Canis lupus familiaris: one gene and its partners. The protein of the gene in region 3 interacts with the protein of the main gene of each other region in a biochemical or structural test. Links are inferred from orthologs where the notes say so. Each region holds a gene or a part of one and is shown on either strand. Other genes may lie near its edges.

Evidence for each region.
Region 1: the proteins of UBE2K (region 3) and ANAPC11 form a complex in vitro, tested with the Homo sapiens proteins (3 studies listed by BioGRID). The link is inferred for Canis lupus familiaris from reciprocal best matches to the Homo sapiens genes UBE2K and ANAPC11.
Region 2: of the proteins of UBE2K (region 3) and UBA1, one has a biochemical effect on the other in vitro, tested with the Homo sapiens proteins (9 studies listed by BioGRID, with this or other methods). The link is inferred for Canis lupus familiaris from reciprocal best matches to the Homo sapiens genes UBE2K and UBA1.
Region 4: the proteins of UBE2K (region 3) and NEDD4L form a complex in vitro, tested with the Homo sapiens proteins (2 studies listed by BioGRID). The link is inferred for Canis lupus familiaris from reciprocal best matches to the Homo sapiens genes UBE2K and NEDD4L.
Region 5: the proteins of UBE2K (region 3) and RLIM form a complex in vitro, tested with the Homo sapiens proteins (2 studies listed by BioGRID). The link is inferred for Canis lupus familiaris from reciprocal best matches to the Homo sapiens genes UBE2K and RLIM.

Annotation. Positions count from the first base shown.
Region 1 is NC_049230.1:1,219,899-1,223,867, forward strand, and holds the start of ANAPC11 (anaphase-promoting complex subunit 11), read right to left. Parts: upstream 2,814-3,969; 5' UTR 2,668-2,813; intron 2,564-2,667; exon of another isoform or gene 2,106-2,563; intron 1,828-2,105; 5' UTR 1,817-1,827; coding exon 1,708-1,816; intron 1-1,707. Other genes in the region: ALYREF (THO complex subunit 4), read left to right, coding at 2,960-3,196, 3,517-3,648. UniProt on the Homo sapiens protein: Together with the cullin protein ANAPC2, constitutes the catalytic component of the anaphase promoting complex/cyclosome (APC/C), a cell cycle-regulated E3 ubiquitin ligase that controls progression through mitosis and the G1 phase of the cell cycle.
Region 2 is NC_049260.1:41,000,373-41,003,886, reverse strand, and holds part of UBA1 (ubiquitin-like modifier-activating enzyme 1), read right to left. Parts: intron 2,373-3,514; coding exon 2,207-2,372; intron 2,062-2,206; coding exon 1,865-2,061; intron 1-1,864. UniProt on the Homo sapiens protein: Catalyzes the first step in ubiquitin conjugation to mark cellular proteins for degradation through the ubiquitin-proteasome system.
Region 3 is NC_049224.1:73,290,146-73,293,659, reverse strand, and holds part of UBE2K (ubiquitin-conjugating enzyme E2 K), read left to right. Parts: intron 1-99; coding exon 100-199; intron 200-3,514. UniProt on the Homo sapiens protein: Accepts ubiquitin from the E1 complex and catalyzes its covalent attachment to other proteins. In vitro, in the presence or in the absence of BRCA1-BARD1 E3 ubiquitin-protein ligase complex, catalyzes the synthesis of 'Lys-48'-linked polyubiquitin chains.
Region 4 is NC_049222.1:17,786,280-17,789,793, forward strand, and holds part of NEDD4L (E3 ubiquitin-protein ligase NEDD4-like), read right to left. Parts: intron 1,965-3,514; coding exon 1,833-1,964; intron 1,368-1,832; coding exon 1,248-1,367; intron 168-1,247; coding exon 1-167. UniProt on the Homo sapiens protein: E3 ubiquitin-protein ligase that mediates the polyubiquitination of lysine and cysteine residues on target proteins and is thereby implicated in the regulation of various signaling pathways including autophagy, innate immunity or DNA repair.
Region 5 is NC_049260.1:58,047,713-58,051,778, forward strand, and holds the start of RLIM (E3 ubiquitin-protein ligase RLIM), read right to left. Parts: upstream 2,802-4,066; 5' UTR 2,586-2,801; intron 804-2,585; exon of another isoform or gene 740-803; intron 306-739; exon of another isoform or gene 236-305; intron 1-235. UniProt on the Homo sapiens protein: E3 ubiquitin-protein ligase.

The DNA of each region.
Region 1 (3,969 bases), on a different chromosome or scaffold from region 3:
GCACAAAGCGGTGACTCACCCAAGGGCTTGTTTGCCTCTCGATGGAAATCTTTAGTAAAGAAAACACCTCTCGAGAAGACTTACTCCCAAAGCCCTCTGGGCCTGGGAGCAGATTATTAGTCTTAGTCACTCAGGGTATTTCACAAGAACTCAATTTTAGCAAGAGGAACCCAGTGTCACTTCACCTGTATAAAGGCTCGTCACACACTCTGCACGGTAGGATTGGCTCTGAAGATGAGGCTCCAAGCCCCCTACTCTCAGCCAACGGGTCCCCTTCCACAAGACCTGAGCACTCCGGCAAACACAGGTATGCCAGCCACAGGCCCAGCTGCAACGGCACAAGCTGGGCTCCGCAGGCTCCGCGCCAACGCCAACACACCGCTCACGCTCCCACGTCCAGTCTAGGGCAATGCTTTCCAAGACTTCTCTTTCCAGAAGCTAACAATCTGTGGCTCAAGAAGCTGCAAGTGTGCGCCCCTGCAGGCTCCCACTGCCTCTGCTGTGTCCCTAAGGACGCACCTGAGAGTGATTAAAACAGAATCAGTAAAACCAGATCGTGAGCTTTACTGCTAAGTAAAACTTAATCAAGTAGAGCCAATCAGTGACTTCCTACGGTCACATCCCACCTGACTGATTCAATCAGGATGGATTAAGTCCTGGGAGATGAGATTTTCTCTCGGCCAAAGTAAAGATCAAGGCCATAACAAAATAGTATTTGCACTAAAACTCAATAATTTGAATTTCACTGTAAGAATAACCCCGGTTATTCTGGGCGCTCTCCTGACCCCACAAAAAGCCTGGTCACTTACAGGCCAGAGGGGCCCCTCAGTCCCCCCAGGTCTCATTTTCCTCTTGGGACTGCCCCTGTCCCCCCAAGGGTCAACCTGCTTCTGCTTAAGTTCACTTTGGTTTGGCTAAAAACACAATTCGCTGATGCAAAAGCCTGTTTTTGACTTAAAAATACACTCAAGCAAAAATAAAAAAAGAAAATACACTCAAGCATTTCTACTTCACCAGAACGTGATGGGACAGAGGTGAGACAAAAACCACCAGAGAGGTCTGATAAAACCTGGCGGTGGGCACTCTGTGGCGTGACACAACCACTTTGCTGAAAGGTCAGATGCCTTGAAAAACGAGGGAGAGGAATGGAAGCGCCTGTTCTATATTCACGTTCAACAGCCAGGGCAGGGCTGAGCGAGCACACGCACGGACACCTGAGACAACGTGAGCAAGCACCAGGAATGGGGGGACACTGAGGGCTTATCGTCACGTCCGGTGTGACAGTGCTACACTTAGTGACTGGGCTGGAGGGGAGCCGGGCCCCAGAAGCCACTTCCAAGCCAGGACGTGAACACAGCCCTTAGCAGCGCTTAGCAGCGACGGTGGGCGCTGGCCGAGGGGACGGGCACCCCCACGACAGCCTGCGTGCCCGCTGGAGAATCGTCCCGTGGCGCTCCAGCGTCCCCCGGCCCACGGGCGTCACGGCTGACTGTGAGCACAGTAAAAAGCCACACGGCCCTCTCTTACAGAACTTTCCATGGGCTCCTCACACAATCATGGGCCCAAACCACCTGCCTTTCTTCTGTCAGCTTGTGTTGAGCAGAGTGACCCCAAAACCCAAGCACCTTGCGCAGGTGTTTCCGAGGAGATGCCCTGGCCAGGCCCGCAGGCAAAGCTCGAGGGGGAGGGAGCACAGGGCACACTCACAGTCTGGGCAGCAGCCATTAAAGGCCATCCGGCAGATGCCACAGTTCTCGTCGTTGGCCACCCAGAGCCAAGTAGCCACGCCGTTCCAGCACTTGATCTTCACCTTCATGGCCGCGGAGCCTACAGGGGGAGGAGACATCGCCGGGCCACACTCAGTCTGCACAGCTACCCATCTAGGCACCCAAGGGGCGCGGCTCCCAGCCGAGGGTCAGCCGGGGCCGGACCTGCTGCCAGAGCTCAGAAACCCTGAGAGCTCTGCACCAGCGGCAATGGCAGGGCCCGGGCCACCCTTGGGAGAACAGCGCGCCCCAGAGCCAGAGTTATCGGCGAAGACTGCAGGGTCCGCCCTGCGTCCCCAAAAGGGCACATGGGCTTCGCCAGTAATTCCAAAAACGTACCATACGGGTTTTTTTCAAAGAGATACGACTAAATCGGGGTTGACAAATAGAGACCCCAACCCAGGTGACCACGAGTTCACGCCAGGGAACCACCACCCAGCCCACTAGGCCTGCGCCACCACCCCAGGGTGAGGGTGCAGAGTGGGGGGTGCCGGGCAGGACCCGGGGTTGCGGGGGAAGGGGTGAGGGCAGGAGCATGCAGAAGGAGTGCGCAGAGGCCAGGAGAAAGTGAGGTGCAGGGAGGGACCAGGGTGTGTGGAGAGTGGGATGTGGGGAAGCGGTGGGGGGGGAAGGGCGGAGCGGAAGGCGCAGGGGTGCGAGCAAAGAGTAGGGGAAGGGGTAGGGGTGTGGGGAGAGGGTGGGGTAAGGAGCGGGGGTGCCTGAAGGGGGTAGGGAAGGCGCCGGGGTGCGGGGAGAGGGCAGGGGAGACGCAGGGGTGCGGAGGGAGGCGCAGGAAGTGGTGGGGGAGGTGCGGGAGCGCGGGGAGGGCGCGAGGCCGGGGCGCGGGGAGGGGGGGGGGAGGGGAGGGGAGCCGCCCGCCCCGCCCCGCGGCCCCGCCCACCTGCGCCCCCCGCCGGCCTCCGCGCGCCGACCCCGCCTTCCGTCGGCGGCGCCCGCGTGGGAAGGTATAAAAGCGGCCGCGGCCGCCGCCGGCACCTCAGCTGCGCCCGCCGAGCCCGCCGTCCGGCGCACGCGCCCCCGCTCCCGCCCGCCCTGCCCGCCCTCGCTCCCGCCCGCCGCGGCCAATCCCCGGCGGCCCCGGCCTCGGTCCCGGCAGGCCGCGCGCGGCCCCGGAAGTGACGCGCCGACGTGCTGACGCGCGGGCTCGAGCCGAGGCCGACTCCGCGCCCGCCATGGCCGACAAAATGGACATGTCTCTGGACGACATCATCAAGCTGAACCGGAGCCAGCGAGGCGGCCGCGGCGGAGGTCGGGGCCGCGGCCGGGCCGGCTCCCAGGGCGGCCGCGGTGGCGGGGCGCAGGCCGCCGCGCGAGTGAGCCGGGGCGGCGGGCCCATCCGGAACCGACCGGCCCTCGCCCGCGGCGCGGCGGGCGGCGGCGGCAGGAACCGGCCGGCGCCCTACAGCAGGGTGAGCGGGGCGGCGGGCCGGCGGGCGGGGGCGCGCGGGGGCGCGGGCGGCGGGCCGGGGGGCTCGGGCCGGGCGGGCGGGGGGGCGCGCGGCGGCCGCCCGGGGCGGCGGAGACCCTCCGGGCCTTTGTCTGGGCCGGGCGCTGGGCCTCGTGGCGGCGGCGGGCGTTGGGCGCGGCCGCGCAGGCGGCGGGAAGCGGGTCGGAGGGAGCGGCGGCGCCCGGGACGCCGGGGGGACGGCGGGCGGGGGCGTGCGGGCGCCGCAGGGTCCGCGGGAGACGCTCACGGGCCGCGTGCTCCTGTGCTCTCCTCCCCCCGCAGCCGAAACAACTTCCCGACAAGTGGCAGCACGATCTCTTCGACAGCGGCTTCGGGGGCGGCGCCGGCGTGGAGACGGGTGGGAAACTGCTGGTGTCCAACCTGGATTTCGGAGTGTCGGACGCGGATATTCAGGTGAGGGGCGGGCGTTCGTCGGTGAGCGGGTCACCCGCACCCGGTGGCCCCGTTGAGGACGCGGCCTGAACCGCCCGCGCCGCACCTTAGGGCGGGGAGCCCTAGGGGCCCAGGGGCAGCCGCCGGCCCTCTAAGGGCTGCAGGAGTGCAGAGCGGAGGTCCTGGCCCGGGAAGTGCGGCCGGCAGGTCGGGGTGTCGGAGGTCGGGCCCGGCCTAGCGGGACGAGCTGCCGCTCTTCCTGAGTCGTGCCCCGCGCGGGGGCGCAAACCCCCTGCCGGAGCCCTCGCTCCTGGCGGGAAACCTCGACCTAACCTGAGCGGT
Region 2 (3,514 bases), on a different chromosome or scaffold from region 3:
ATCGAATCCCACGTCAGGCTCCCGGTGCATGGAGCCTGCTTCTCCCTCTGCCTGTGTCTCTGCCTCTCTCTCTCTCTCTCTGTGACTATCATAAATAAATAAAAATTAAAAGACTGTCCGTAAATAAACCCAGTTAGAAGAACACCGCTGCTCTGAGCAAAGAGAAACCTTCCGCCCCTGCTCCCCCATCTTCCCCACACCCCCAGTGCCTCAATTTAAAAACGAATGAACTTGATTTGGGCCACGGAATAAAATTATTAAGGATTTGTGTACCTCACTAGAGATCCATTATGTCTCGATTAAAAAAAAACAACAAAAACCAAACTTTTAGCTATGTATATTTTACCAGTTTTAAAAAAGAAAAAAACCATCAGACCCAAATCAAAAATGATTGCCATACAGGCCCTGGGGCTGAGCAGTAAACCAGACACTCTGTAAATTCCTAAGGAATTCCTGTACTCTGAAAATTCCTAAAGACAGTAAATGCATTCACTGGTGGAAGGCTGGGAGGAGAGGACATCTAGGTTCAAACCCCAGCTCTCCTACCTAGTATCTAGTTTTGGGACTTTAGAAACACACAGCAACACTTACCTTTGCATTCTCCTTCCTAAAACAGATATCGTTACCAGTAATACCTATCATGAGGTGGGCTTGCAAAGAAATGAGCAAGGATGTATCCACTCAAAAATTCGCTTAAACAGCACCAAATACAAGTAAATGCCAAGTGCTTCGCAACCATGAGACTGACAATGCTGTCAGCCCCGTTTCACAGAAGAGTCAGGCACGATGAGGTAGAATCCAAAGTCACACACGGCTCAGTGAGACCATGGAGGGCCCACAAATATGAACGTGCATACTCTGGAACTACAGGCAGAAAGGAAGGTGGCCGAGGAAGCCAGTTTTGCCCTGTTTGGATCTCGCCAACCCCCCCCTTGCTCCTAACTGAACACTCTGAATGGTTTGTTCTCGAAGACTACAGTCACTCTGATAGCACAATCGTTATCCTCAGGTCACCCTTAGGTTCTCCTTCGTGGCCCTGGTATACCAGTTACATAGGTGCGTTCACTTTATCAAGACTCAGCCTGGTGAGAGGTGCACAGGATCATCCTGAGAAACTAGCTGTTGAAGCCATTCTGAGCATCACCTGGTGACACGTGAAGAAGAACTAAAACATTAAAGACCTAAATAACTGCAGGAGGTAATCACCAGTAATTTTGTTCAGCGTGCAAGCAGGATTTGGGTTAGATAGCAGTGGTCCTCACCTGGGAGCGATTTTGCCCCCTGGAGGAGTGGGGGGATATCTGACAATGTCTGGAGACCTTGTGAGTAGCCGCAACCGCACCCTCCTGCAGCCAGGGATGCCGCTAAGCACTAGACAGTGCAGAAGCCACCCACCCACCCATCCACCCTGCACTGGCAAGGAAATACCTGGCCCCCAATGTCAACAATGCCGAGGTCGAAGAGACCCTGTTAGGCAGAACATACTTCCCTCACAGATGCCTGTTAGAATGTTAAGGAGTTAAGTGTTGTGATACCTATGAGACACTTCAGCACAAAGAAGGAAAGATATGGCAATCTAAGAAGAAAATGTGTCAAAACATTAACTATTACATCTAGGTGACGAACGCTGAGTGTTCACCATACCGCTCTTTGTCTTTCTGTGTTGAAAACTTTTCAAAATGAAAGATGAATGAAATCGCTCTAGAAACCCAGGCTGTTGGGATGGGAAGCGAGGGAGGAAAGTTTGGAGAGAAAGCACATCTTGAGCTTTGGCTGGTGACACCGGAGGGGGAGGGGGCCTAGTTGCCATGAAGGTGCCTGCTCCCTCCCCTCCCTGCCCCTTCCCCCCAAAAAAGCTGATCACCTGCAGAGTGTGCTCGATGGCGTTGGGGAAGTTCTTCAGGGTGCAGATGGGGATGGACTTCTCAGGCGGATCCTGGCTAGAGCTGTAGGACTCTGTCAGAAAGGGGATCACCACCTGCACGTTGCCCTTGGTACCCAGTGTGCCAGACTCCAGTAGCGGCTTGCGGTAGTACACACAACGGCGGTCCATGTACATGCCTAAGGAGGATAGGGTGTGTGTGTGTGGGGGGGGCACATGTGTCAGGACAGGAATGTCAACAGAGGATGGAAAGACAGGCATCCCTGATGGCACACATGCACACCACCTCCCCCCGCCCACCTCCTCACCCGCCTCCAAACTCACGGGCATCCACGTTGTCAAGGGCATTGGCCACACCATCCAGGTTTTGGAAGAAATCATCATCATAGATGCGTTCTGTGTCAGGGCCCACACGGTTCTGGTGGCTTGTCACCCGGATGTGCGGATTCATCTGGCGCACAGCTGCAGCGGCTGTGTCAGACTTTAACTTCTAAGGGGGATAAGGGTGGGACAGGGAAACACAGAACTCAGTTATTCATGCATTCACCCAACAAACCTCTACAGGGCCATCCTCCTAAAAATGGGTTTACTTAATGCCTGGGAAAAACCAGGCTCTGAGTTCAGAAGGCTCCCTGATTTAGCAGGAAATAGTCTGTGACAGTACCACATGGCTAGGGCTGTGACAGTAGTGGCAGGGGCTCAGTGGAAAGCGAAGCAATGAACAAATGTAGACGAGAAGCAAGAGGCCACCATCTGTTTCTATGACTACCCAACACCTATTGTTCTTTCCGGTAATAGCACCCAGGCCTGGGGTCCATCCTCTCAAACAAAACAGGATCTTTCCAAAGCCTAGGTCAGTCACATCCCTCCTCTGCTCAAAACCCTCCTCTGGCTTCCCCCTCCACAGAGGAGAAAATGAGTTAGCCCCTACTTCCTCTAGCTCATCTCCTACATCCCACCCCGCCAACAGGATCCTGGCCTAGGGTGCTCTGAACCCAGAAAAGGGGTCTCTACTCCCTTCTACCCTCCAGGTGTGCAGGACTGAGCCCTTTCCTAACCATTATAATCGAAACTGCCAACCTGTCTTCCAGACAGGCCCAACTTCCCTTAGCTTGCTTTGGTTGTTTCCTTTGCACAGCACTCATCAACATTAACTACAAATTTATTATACTGTATTGCTTGCTTATGGTCTGTCCTCCCTCCTTAGAACCTGTGTTTCCTTGCTGTATCCCAAGTGCCGAAAGCGGTGCCTAGGCCAATGACTACCGATGACATCACTGAATGGAAAGGAGAACATCTTTAAAAAAAAAAAAAAAAAGGGCAGCCCGGGTGGCTCAGCAGTTTAGTGAGTTTAGTGCCATCTTCGGCCCAGGGCCTGATCCTGGAGACCTGGGATAGAGTCCCAAGTCAGGTTCCCTGCATGGAGCCTGCTTCTCCCTCTGCCTGTGTCTCTGCCTCTCTCTGTGTCTCTCATGAATAAACAAAATCTTTAAAAAAAAAAAAAAAAAGAAAAAAGAAAGGGGAACAGATCCCAGGCAGGCAAACAGGGCACTGTCCCCCATAGAAGGCTTCCCAGCTCGAGCCCCTGAATGACCTAGACTCCATCTGGCAGAGAAGAGTGACCCTAACACA
Region 3 (3,514 bases):
TTATTTTTAGCTCCAGTAGTTTTTATATTCAGAAAATCACTTAACTTTTGTCACGCTGCATGTTCTTAACTGAGATGTTTTCTTGTTTTGTTTTTTTAGGGCTGCAGCAATGACTCTCCGCACGGTATTATTGTCATTGCAAGCCCTTTTGGCAGCTGCAGAACCGGATGATCCACAAGATGCAGTAGTAGCAAATCAGGTAAGACTTGCTTGTACTTACCTATGAATTTCTACTACTGTAGTGATTTGCAGTGTTAACACATGAGCATAGTTCTATTTAGAAAGACTAAATTTGGAAATGGTTTTCTTTCTCATGGTAAGATTATTTTGTCAGATGTAATAGCGAAAACCTACTGATTTTTAATACACTACTTTGAGTATATGATGCTTTTTAAAAAACTTAATGGAAATTTTCAAACACAATGTCAAAATATTTATATAGTGAATACGCATATTCCTACCTGCATCTGGATTCTGTGATTAGCATTTTACTATACGTGCTTTATCATGTGCGTATCTATCCATCCCTCCATTTAGTGATAATCCTTCCCTGGTAATTTTAACCAGCTCTTGCTGTGACTGAAGTGGCATAGTGTAAAAGTTACCAAGGATCTTAAAATTGCCAGATGGAATAAATATTTTTTAGTTTTGATCTTTCAGTTGATGTGATCTCCAAGGCAGAGGTCCGCAAATTACACCTAGAGTTATTGTTTTTGTAAATAATGTTTTATTGGAATACAGCCACATCCATTTGTTTACTTATCTGGTCCTGTGAGAAACCCTGTTCTACGCCATTAGGATTTACTGAGCTTTTTTTTTTGTCCCCCACTTGGAATTTTTTTCTTCTCTTAACTTCTAACATACTACTCTCTTCTCATCTTGGTAGTTGTAGTTATTCCTTCTTAGTTCCTACAATTATTTCTTTTCTTCCTTCTAAAAAGAGTTCCTTGGTTTAGACATCATTCCTTTTACTTTTACTGTTGTATATGGTCACATGGATGATCATATCTACACTGATACTATCACCTGTAAGTTGAGAAAATGTTTAGGCATTACCTCTCCTTGAGTGCAAGAGCCTGTTCAGAACTGGATAGTTATATATGTTTCATGGATACCTCAGCATAGCATTCCCAAAACTGAATGTAGAATCTTAAATCCTCAGGGCAGCGCGGGTGGCTCAGTGGTTTAGTGCCGACTTCAGCCCAGAGCGTGGTCCTGGAGACCTGGGATCGAGTCCCACATCAGCTCCCTGTATGGAGCCTACTTCTCCCTCTGCTTATGTCTGTGCCTCTCTCTCTCTCCGTGTCTCTCATGAATAAATAATCTTAAAAAAAAAATCTTAAATCCTGCAAACGTGACCATCCTTCTATGATACCATCGCCTATTTAGTTAAGTATCCAAGCCACAGACTTGAAATTCTCTGTGCCTTCTTTTCTCTTGGTGATTCCATTCCCAATATCTCTCATACTTCTCTGATCGGCCTTAGTTCACATTTTAAAAAATGTCTTAGTTCAACTGCTCTGATAGCTGTCCCTTCCTTCATCTACTTGATAGCAGTGAGCTTTTTAAAGTAGAAATCTTACTTTACTACTAAAAACTTATTAGAAGCTCGGATATCACCTACTTGGTAAATCCAGATTCTTTGGTTTGCAGAGTTTTTCCATGATTTAACTGTCCACAAAACCAGCTTCATCTCCTAAATTCTTATTATTCCTCGGACTCCCGTTTTTTATGGACTCCTGCTTTTTTTAAGATGTCATTCATTTCTACCCGTCAGTTCACCTGGTCTGCTATGTTTCCTCTGCCTGGTTCCTATTAATAAACCTGTTCCTTTCCCTTGAAAAGCTGTTTGCTCTGGGGTACCTGGGTGGCTCAGAGTTGAGCATCTGCCTTTGGCTCAGGTCGTGATCCTGGGCCCTGGGATCGAGTCCTGTATCAGGCTAGCCTCTCTCTCTTCCTCTCTCTCTCTCTCTCTCCCCCTCCCTCTCTCTCTCTCTCTCTCTCTCGAATGAATAATTAAGATCTGAAAAAAAAAATCTGTTCACTCCTTATTTTCTGTATATCCTTATTAATATAATGTTTGTTTCAGAGTGCTTAGAATTAGGGTTTTACATGCTATATATATGTGCTGTTCGTTCGCTTTTGGTAGTCGGCATGGCTTGAAGTCTCAACTTTGATTTCCTGTGGAGTTATGAGCCTCAAGGGCTGAGGCTGGACATGGAACTTTCTCCAGCTCCTAGAACAGTTCAATAATTTGACATATTTCCTTGTTTAGAATTCGCAAGAATTCTTAATACAAGTAGAAACTAGATGTATTATTTTAATATATAATAGAAGCATATCAGTCTTAGAATACTCAATACATATAATTTTACTTATTTTTCAAAAGATTTTACTTATTTTATTCATGAGAGAGACAGAGAGAGGCAGAGACATAGGCAGAGGGAGAAGCAGGCTCCCTGCAAGGGATGCCAGCACTCCAGAATCAGGCCCTGAGCCGAAGGCAGATGCTCAACCACTGAGCCACCCAGGCATCCCCATGTAAAGTACTTTTAAAAGGAATACTAAAGTGAATTGAACAGTTACTTTAAATGTATATACTTCCATTATTAAGTAATGTTGGTTCCAAAGTATTTAAGAATAAATTTATCTGGGCAGCCTGGGTGGCTCAGCGGTTTGGTGCCACCTTCAGCCCAGGGTGTGATCCTGGAGACCCAGGATCAAGTCCCACGTCAAGCTCCCTGCATGGAGCCTGCTTCTCCCTCTGCCTATGTCTCTGCCTCTCTCTCTCTTTCTCTGTATCTCTCATGAATAAATAAGTAAAATCTTTTAAAAAAACTAAAAGTACTGTATGGTGGGTTCATAAACATCTCAAAACATGGTATAAATTAAAATACTGCATATTAGGGCATCTGGTTGACTGACTCAGTCTGTGGAGCATGCAACTCTTGATCTCAGGATTGTAAGTTTGAGCTCCATGATGGGTGCAGAGATTACTTAAAAATCTTGTTTTTTCCTTTAAGTTGGCTCCATGCCCAACATTGAGCCAGAACTCAAAACCCCAAGTAAAAGAGTTGCATGCTTTACCTCTGAGCCAGCCAGGTGCCCCCAGAATAAAATCTTTCTTAAAAAGCCTTTGCACATGGTATTTTCTTGAATCACTGTATATTAATACAGTTTCAGCAAAATAGCAAAGTCCACTTGTATTCTATTCTGAGCTGTGGTTAATATGAAAGTTGGTTTGCCTGGGTGGCTCAGTGGTTGAGAGTCTGCCTTCAGCTTTGGGGCATAATCCTGGGGTCCGGGATTGAGTTCTGCATCGGGCTCCTGCATGGAGCCTGCTTCTCCCTCTGCCTGTGTCTCTGCCTCTCTCTCTTTCTCTCTTGTCTCTCTCATGAATAAATAAATTTAAAAATATATATATGAAAGTTGGTCACATTTGTTACTGTCCCTACAATTTTAGAAGCAGATAATTCTCTTTGGTTGTATAATGTTTCACACTTTGCAGTGTTTA
Region 4 (3,514 bases), on a different chromosome or scaffold from region 3:
AAGAAGGGCCGGCCGTTGGGCGCTATCCTCATTTCCCAGCCGGGCGGCAGGAAGCTCTGTGTGACTTTGTGTTGTGGTTTGGGGGAGTTGTAAGGTGATGGCTGTGGGGACTGTGGATTGGAAAGGGTATCTTTCACAGCCCGACGTATGGGCGAATCCTTGGCACCCTAAGGAATAATAACGAGCATTAGAACTCTTACCAGCTGCTATTCCGGGGGGAGGGTCAAAATGTACCTGGGTACACAGGGACACTGCTCTCTGAAGAGGTACAAGGGAGAAGCTCTAAAACCCGTTTCTGTCATTCATCTACTTTTCAACCCATCTAACTTTAAAGTTTTCTGGTTGGTTAAACACATGACAATATTAAGTACTTATACCCAAGGTCCGTGGACAGCTATTCAGTGCGCACCCCAAGTATTGTTCTGTATTGAACGTTACGGATGGAAATTTTACAGAGGGTGGAGAAACACATGCCCCTGCTCTTAATGAGCTCACAGTCTAATGAAGAAGGGGTTGGCAATTTTTAGAGCACAGAAAGCAAAACCCGTACCAACAGAGACAGCCGTCCGGACCAGCAGGTTGCTACCCCCCGGCACTCCCATCCCAGTTTGGAACAGACCCCATCGGCTCCCAGCCAGCAGCATCGCAGACCCAGGGAACGGGCCCGCAGCTAGGTCTGAGACACCGTCAAGCTCAGAACTTCACACACTTGCTCTCTGGCTTCTCTAACTCTGACGTTTGTGATGCGAAGGGATGGCAACAACACCACACAAACAGAAGGCACCCGCAGATGCCCCGCAATGGCTTCGAGATGTGCGTGTGCATCAGAAACACATATGCCCGCACGGTGACAGGCCCTACCGTCGAAAGGAAAAGAAAAATGATCAAAGCGACAGCTATGTTTGGAAACGCAACGTAAGCATTGGTATCGGCAAGAGTTCGTGTGCAAGTCAAGAGCGAAACACAAGGAGAGATGGAGAGTGTCCGGCAGAGGGGCGCCCCCTTCGGGCACAAGGAGCCGCGGGGGCAGCCGAATGAGAATGGGGATCAGAGGGGGGCAGTCCACGGGTGCGAGCCGGGCGGCACAGAGAAGCATGAAGGAAGGCTGCACGACAACACCACGACCCATCAGAGAGAGAGGGGAGGGGGGGACAGGGGGCTGCAACCACTCAAACCCAAGTAAGATGAGCAAGGAGATGAGAAGTCCCGGGAGGGGGTGAGCCGGTGAGCCGATGAGGCCTTCTCACCTCCAGTGGGGCAGATAAGGTTACGGTCGGCGAGCTGAGGCTACGGGGCCGGCGGATCTGAGGCTCGATTAGGTGGTTGTTACTGTTTGTGGCGGATCCGGACGCACCGTCTTCGGCGAGCTATTTCGGAGGCAAAAACAAGTTAGCTTGGCAGGAGGAGGACTCCTGTGCGAGTGATGAGGAGCGTGGACCCAAACAACGTAAGCCAGCAATAATAAGAGGGCTGGCCTATTTCAAGCGTGGAGGAAAATGATTAAACATAATAATGGGGGCAACGATCGAGAAGTACAGTCAAAGGAAATAGAAATGAATCACTAGCCCAGCGTAAACGCCAGCCTCAGAAATCAAGGGAGAGAAGCTCCACCCTGGGACGGGCTCCCTAAACCGTGTCTAGGGGTGGACTGGCTTGAGGACCGAATTCTTCCTCCGGCAAATACTAGGCTTAGAGTTCCCATCTTCTCTGTGAGAAACATGATCTTAAACACGGGTTCTTTCAGAACAATACATTCACCTCGGGAGCACCGAGCTCACATACGTTTGGGCTTCTACAGCCTGTGATTTTAGGTTGTAGGACGATCTGCGTACCTGCATGATAGGTCGAGTCCAAGTTGTGGTTCGATTGTTATGATTGACATAGTATGTGCGTCCCTTAGCATCTTTTCTTTCTTCCCAGCCTGAAGGTAGGCCCGGCGTGGTGTGTGCATAGGCCACTGATGGCTGTTTGTGTAAGAAATCATTATTATTTAATATCCTGCATTTTCTTTTTGATCAGTTTAATAAAAGTAATGTACACGCAGAGAGTTACTAGACCAGGTAACTTAATTTTACTTGTACCAAAAACATTAGCGTCTGGAAAAAAGGCAATTGATTTCCAACGGCTTCCAATCTACTGTGAGATGACCCCCACACAGCCACAAGGTCCAAGATCTTCTAAGTCAGTGGTAAAACCCTGAAGTCTTAAACATAAAGGGTCGTGGCTAACATGATCCTAAGAGAAACGTACAATCTGTTTCAGTTACTAGATTTTGCTGTCAAGCCACAGAGAGTTTCAAGGTATTTTAAACTGTCCAATGTCACCAAGAGAGGGATGCTTTGAATAGTTTTTTCCTCAATAGAGTTGCCACAGAGATGCTCTCCTAACTCCCAAAGTCTTCCTCAGCTTAGAGCCCTTCCACTACAGCTTTCAGGGAGGAAAAAAAAAATACAGTCTCCTCTCTAGGACGGCTGTATTCGCGCCAGGGCACACGGTCATGAGGACCGACCAGGACAGCTCAGCGGCCCCAGTCGGGAAGCCACTGGGCAACGTGAGGTCAGAATTCCAGAAGAACACGCAGTTCGTGGGTTTGAGACATGTTCAGTATAGGGCGACTGGATCTGCAAAGTCCAAATTAGATTGCAGAAGGATTCCTGGGACACTTTTGCTTGTAGGGGGCAGTCTGAGAAATGCGGTCTGGGTGGAGAAACACTGGACCAGCAAGCGTGTTTCAGTGACTCAGAAGACAAGGAGACGGACGTCTGAGGTCCGTGCTGTCCCGAGAAGTGCTGGGCATGTGGACGCTGCATATAAGATCTGTAACTGAGAAAAGGGCGCTACCCCTACCCTCAGGGCGGGGACTCAGAATTACAAGCCAACTATGGCCACCAAGGCTCCTGGGAGAATGTAAAAGCAGCGAGAGGCCACACCTCAGGAATAATCTCTTACACGAGGTGACAAAAGGAAGCCACTTCTTTTGGGGCAACAGGCTTCCCTAATTAGGATCTTGTGAGCCTCCAGGTGGTTGACCAGGTGGATGTCAGGGCGAGGATGTCAATCTCTGAGCCCAACTCCTCTGTGTGCGCCCTGTCTTTGACAGTCACCACCAAGACTGTGCTGGGGCAAGGAGGCCACAGAGCGCCCCCTGGTCTCCTGCAGGATCGAGAACTAGAAAAAGCACGCTTAACCATCCTGCCATGTAATTTGGGGACTTCAGTTAATGAGGCTCAATACTCTACCCCATAAGCTAGATAGCACGTTCCAGAGAGAAACTGAGCCACGGAGCAGCTGCCTCAACGGTTATTTCTAACACATTCACCATGCCCTGCAAGACTATTTGTAAGAGGACTTTCTGCTAAAACGACAGTAACTATTTTCTTGATGGTTTTCCAGATTAAGTCCCGAAGGCCCTGAAATGGGAATTCCAAGACTGAGAGACCCTATGGGCTCTGGATCTAGGTGTGAGGCCACTACAGGAGCGGAACGGACCTGGACATGCAGGCCTGATCCTTCC
Region 5 (4,066 bases), on a different chromosome or scaffold from region 3:
AAAATGTTTAACTTCCTTGAGTCTCAGTTAACTAGGTAAAACAGCTAATATCCTCACAAGGCTTTGCTGTGAAGATTATAAAGTCATGCATGTGAAGCACAGGACACAGCACATAAGCATTCAAGTTAGTTATGAATTTAGGCTAACTCCATCCCCGTTTGCTTGGCACAATACAGGTTTGCACCTGTTGGCATAAAAAAAGCATCCTGGTTAAGGCAATAAATTATGTGCTTACCTTAACAATGATGATGATGATGAAAGGAGTTAATATCAGAGTATTATATATTAATTATGACATTTTGGATCTTAAAGGAAAAAAATGAACACCACACAAAATAATGTAAGATTACATTCCTGCAAGATATTCTACTGATATTTCATTTAGTTATTCAATGAACATTTAAACGCTATTTATTTAGACCCATCCCACCAACAATGATTTAAAGCAGCAAATTTCTATTTTGTTCTTTCTGTTTTATATGGGTACTGGTAAACTTCAGACATTATTTTAAAAGAGGAAAATTCACAGATAAACACTAGCAGAGTTTCAGTTATTCAGACACACTACCCTTTGAATTCCCAATGAAAAATACCCATTCTCATTATGAAAAATGCCCAACACCAATAAACATATATCAAATAAGCCCATCCAATTACAGGGCCTGCAATACAAAATAAATATTTTTAAACATGCATTCTACACATAAATCATCAGGAGACGCAACAAAAAATAAATTACCTGACTGTTATGACATAGTATTGTAATACAATAAACTGGATTTTAGTTTTCTTCACTCTCTGCTCTAGAAAAAAAAAGAATCCATTATTCTTCCTCTTTCATAAGATACACATTTTCTATGAAATAGACACATCCTCAAAAAAACACATCCTATATATCTTAAGTTACACACCCCATAACCCAACCTAATTAGGATATTTGGGAAGATGGAGAAGGTCAGAGGAAACCAGGAATCTTGTGTTAGATATCAGATTTTCTTTAAAGGCTGAAAGCCAATCTACCTTTTAATATAAGCTTGCTTAAAATAGGCCTTTCTTTTTCAAACCAGTAATATTTTCAGATTCTGATACTTTCAAGGACTTACTTGGCACATTACAGTAGTCTATGGAGAAACTAAAGTATGAAAGATCATCAAGATACTTAGGCTAAAGAATGAAACATTTTTCAGTGCAACAGTTTCCTAAATCATACTTTAAAAAGCATCTGGATTGGTCTTCCTGGGTACTTTATTTTTATAATCTAGAAAACTGATTTTTGGAGGGCTCTAATTGTGCCTGCCTGGTCGCAAGTCATTCAGGATGGACATAACGTACCTGATAGGGTGATATGAGTAATTTTGTCTTTAATGAGGAAGAATCAAATACATGTTTCTAGTAGTAGAAACGACTATAGTACATTTATTTCTTCCTCCCTTCAATCATCCAAAGCGACTGCGGTTAATTCTGATTGAGGAAATGCGGGCTCTTTATTTGCACCAAAAAATTAATGTGGGACCTCGCAAATGGTGGATGACAACCTGATATAAATGCTTCCTCTTGCCCCCAAACAAAAAGAATGACCTAAATAACAAGACTGCTAGGCCTCAGATTCCCAGAGTAACCTGTGGAATAAGTATGGGGAAACTGTCTAGGGAAGGAACGTGGCTGTCTCCTCCATCTTGAAATTAATCAGCATAAGGGAAAAAGGGACTGAGTATTCAGGAAGCAGAAGCCCAACCGGTTAATACTAGTTACTAAAGCTATGGCGTACGTGGCAGGTACCGCCCGCAAAAGCCGAGACCCTTAGGCTTTTCTCTTTGAGGGGGGAGGGGTTGGGTTGTTGCCGGATTGAACGGAAATTAAGTTGAAAATCATTTGGCCCAATTCCCACCCTTACCCAGGGAAAAAACAACACGCAATGGCTTTTCCCTGCCTTTTCAGGGGATCCTTGCAGTGATATCTGGCAAGGGCTATGCCAGGGTTATTGAGTAAGGGAGCAAAACCACAGTTGCCCCGGATCCTCAGGGAAGATGTCATCGTGGCCCCAGGGGGCGCCTAATTGATAGTACCCAGCAAAAGGGCTCAAAATGGGGTTTTGCAAATCCTGGGAAATCTAAGGCCCAAGAGTTCCCAGCAGCTGACTTAGAGCAGACTGATATTTCCCCCTTTTCCCAAACCCAAGCCCGCCATATAAAAGGGGGGATGGGAAGGCGAGGGACGCCTCCAGATAACCAAAGAGAAAAATTTAAGACTATCAAAGATTCTCACGCCTGAGGCCAACACTCAAAAATCGCCTCCCCCAATTTCTCCAGACTGTGGAGGGCCCCCGGCTTTGGCTCGCACCGCCACGGAGAGGAAGTACTACCCACCTCCTTCCCCTTCTTCAAGAGACTGTGACTAAAATGGCAGCGGCGACTACGCCACGGAGCCCCCCGCAGCAATCAGCGCCTGGGGTCCGGAGGCGGTGCTGAGCGTCCGCCACAACGCGGGACTCAGGCCATTTTGAGAGAACACGGCAGCTGCAGCTCCGCTGTCTTTCCCTCGCTCTCCATCCATTTCTCAAGAGGATTTCCCAAGGCTTCACTTACTCGGTTTTAGTGTCGGGTCCGACTCCGTCGGTTTGGCTGCTGCCGCCGCTGAGGATCCTGCGCGCCTCCCCTGCCGCTGCTCTCAAGCCCGCCTCCGATGAGTCGCTGGTTGAGACCCGCCTCTAGCCTAGCGCCTGCTCCGAGACGTTGCTCAGGCAGCCATTATCTTCCCCATTGTTACCAAGCAGCGACAGGAAACGACAGCCCACAACAGGAAGTGATGATGCCGCGTCCCGGCCCTGCAGCCCCACTCCCAGCCTATTAGCCAATCCCAGGCGATTCCTCGAAAAGGCTCGGCGGGAGGAAGAAGGGGGCAGCAGACGACGCGGCAAGGCGGGCCAGCAGTCTGGAAAAGGAGAGCTGCTGTGACGCCCACCATGTGACAGGCCCCACCCTCCTCCGCCATTTTGAATTGTGGCGAGAAATTCGCGTTCTGAGAACTGTGGGAACCTTAGCTCTCCCGTTTTTGAAAACTGAAGAACGTCACCACTTGACTGCTTGAAGCCCTTTTCAGAGAGCGAGAAATGCGATACTAGTCCAACCTGGCGTCAATTCACACAATTGGTCCAGACTAAGTTGAACAGCGTCTTACCTTTTATTCAACATATATTTATCGAGTGCCAACTGTATGTCAAGCATTGTAGTAGATGTTGGGAATACAACGGAAATTAAAACGGACCAAAATCCCAGTTCTTACGGTTCTTTATATTCTACTTTCTCATGGTTCCTAGTACTTGGGGGAGGGACAATAATTACTATATATCTATATCTATCGGTGATAAATGCTGGGGAGAAAAAAGATTCGGAAAGGGGGTGGGGTGGGAGAGTGCTGGGTGGGGGTAAATGGGAATTGCAATTTTAAAGAGTGGTTAGAGATGGCCTCTCTGAGATGGTAATTTTCTGAAATGCTTGAAAAGGGGCGATGATTGTAACAGGATGGGAAAATCTGATAACGTTGGAATTTGTAAAAAGACAGTTAAGGAAGGCCTTTCTTAGATGGTATTAATGCCTGAAGGAAGTTAGGGAACCGACCACACAGCATCCAATTCCTGTTTTCACAGTTAACTTAAAAAAACAATCTTGTCCAAGTTTTTAGGGTGTTTCTGTGTTTCTTTTTACATTTTTTTGTTTTCTGTTTCCAGATAACACTGCCACTACACGTTTTCTCAATATTCTTCCAACAAACCAAACTTGTTCCCACCTCTATAACTATATATAGGCTAGAATATTTTCTTTTTTTTAAGACTTTATTTATTCATGAGAGACACACGGAGAGAGAGGCAGAGACACAGGCAGAGGTCGAAGCAGGCTCGGTGCAGTGAGCCCGAAATGGGACTCCATCCTGGGTCTCCAGGATCACGCCCTGGGCTGAAGGCGGCGCTAAACCGCTGAGCCACCCGGGCTGCCCTAGGCTACAATATTTTCATTTCATATCTTTGCTCTCATCAACTAAGCATCTTCTCAATGACTCCTCTCCCCAG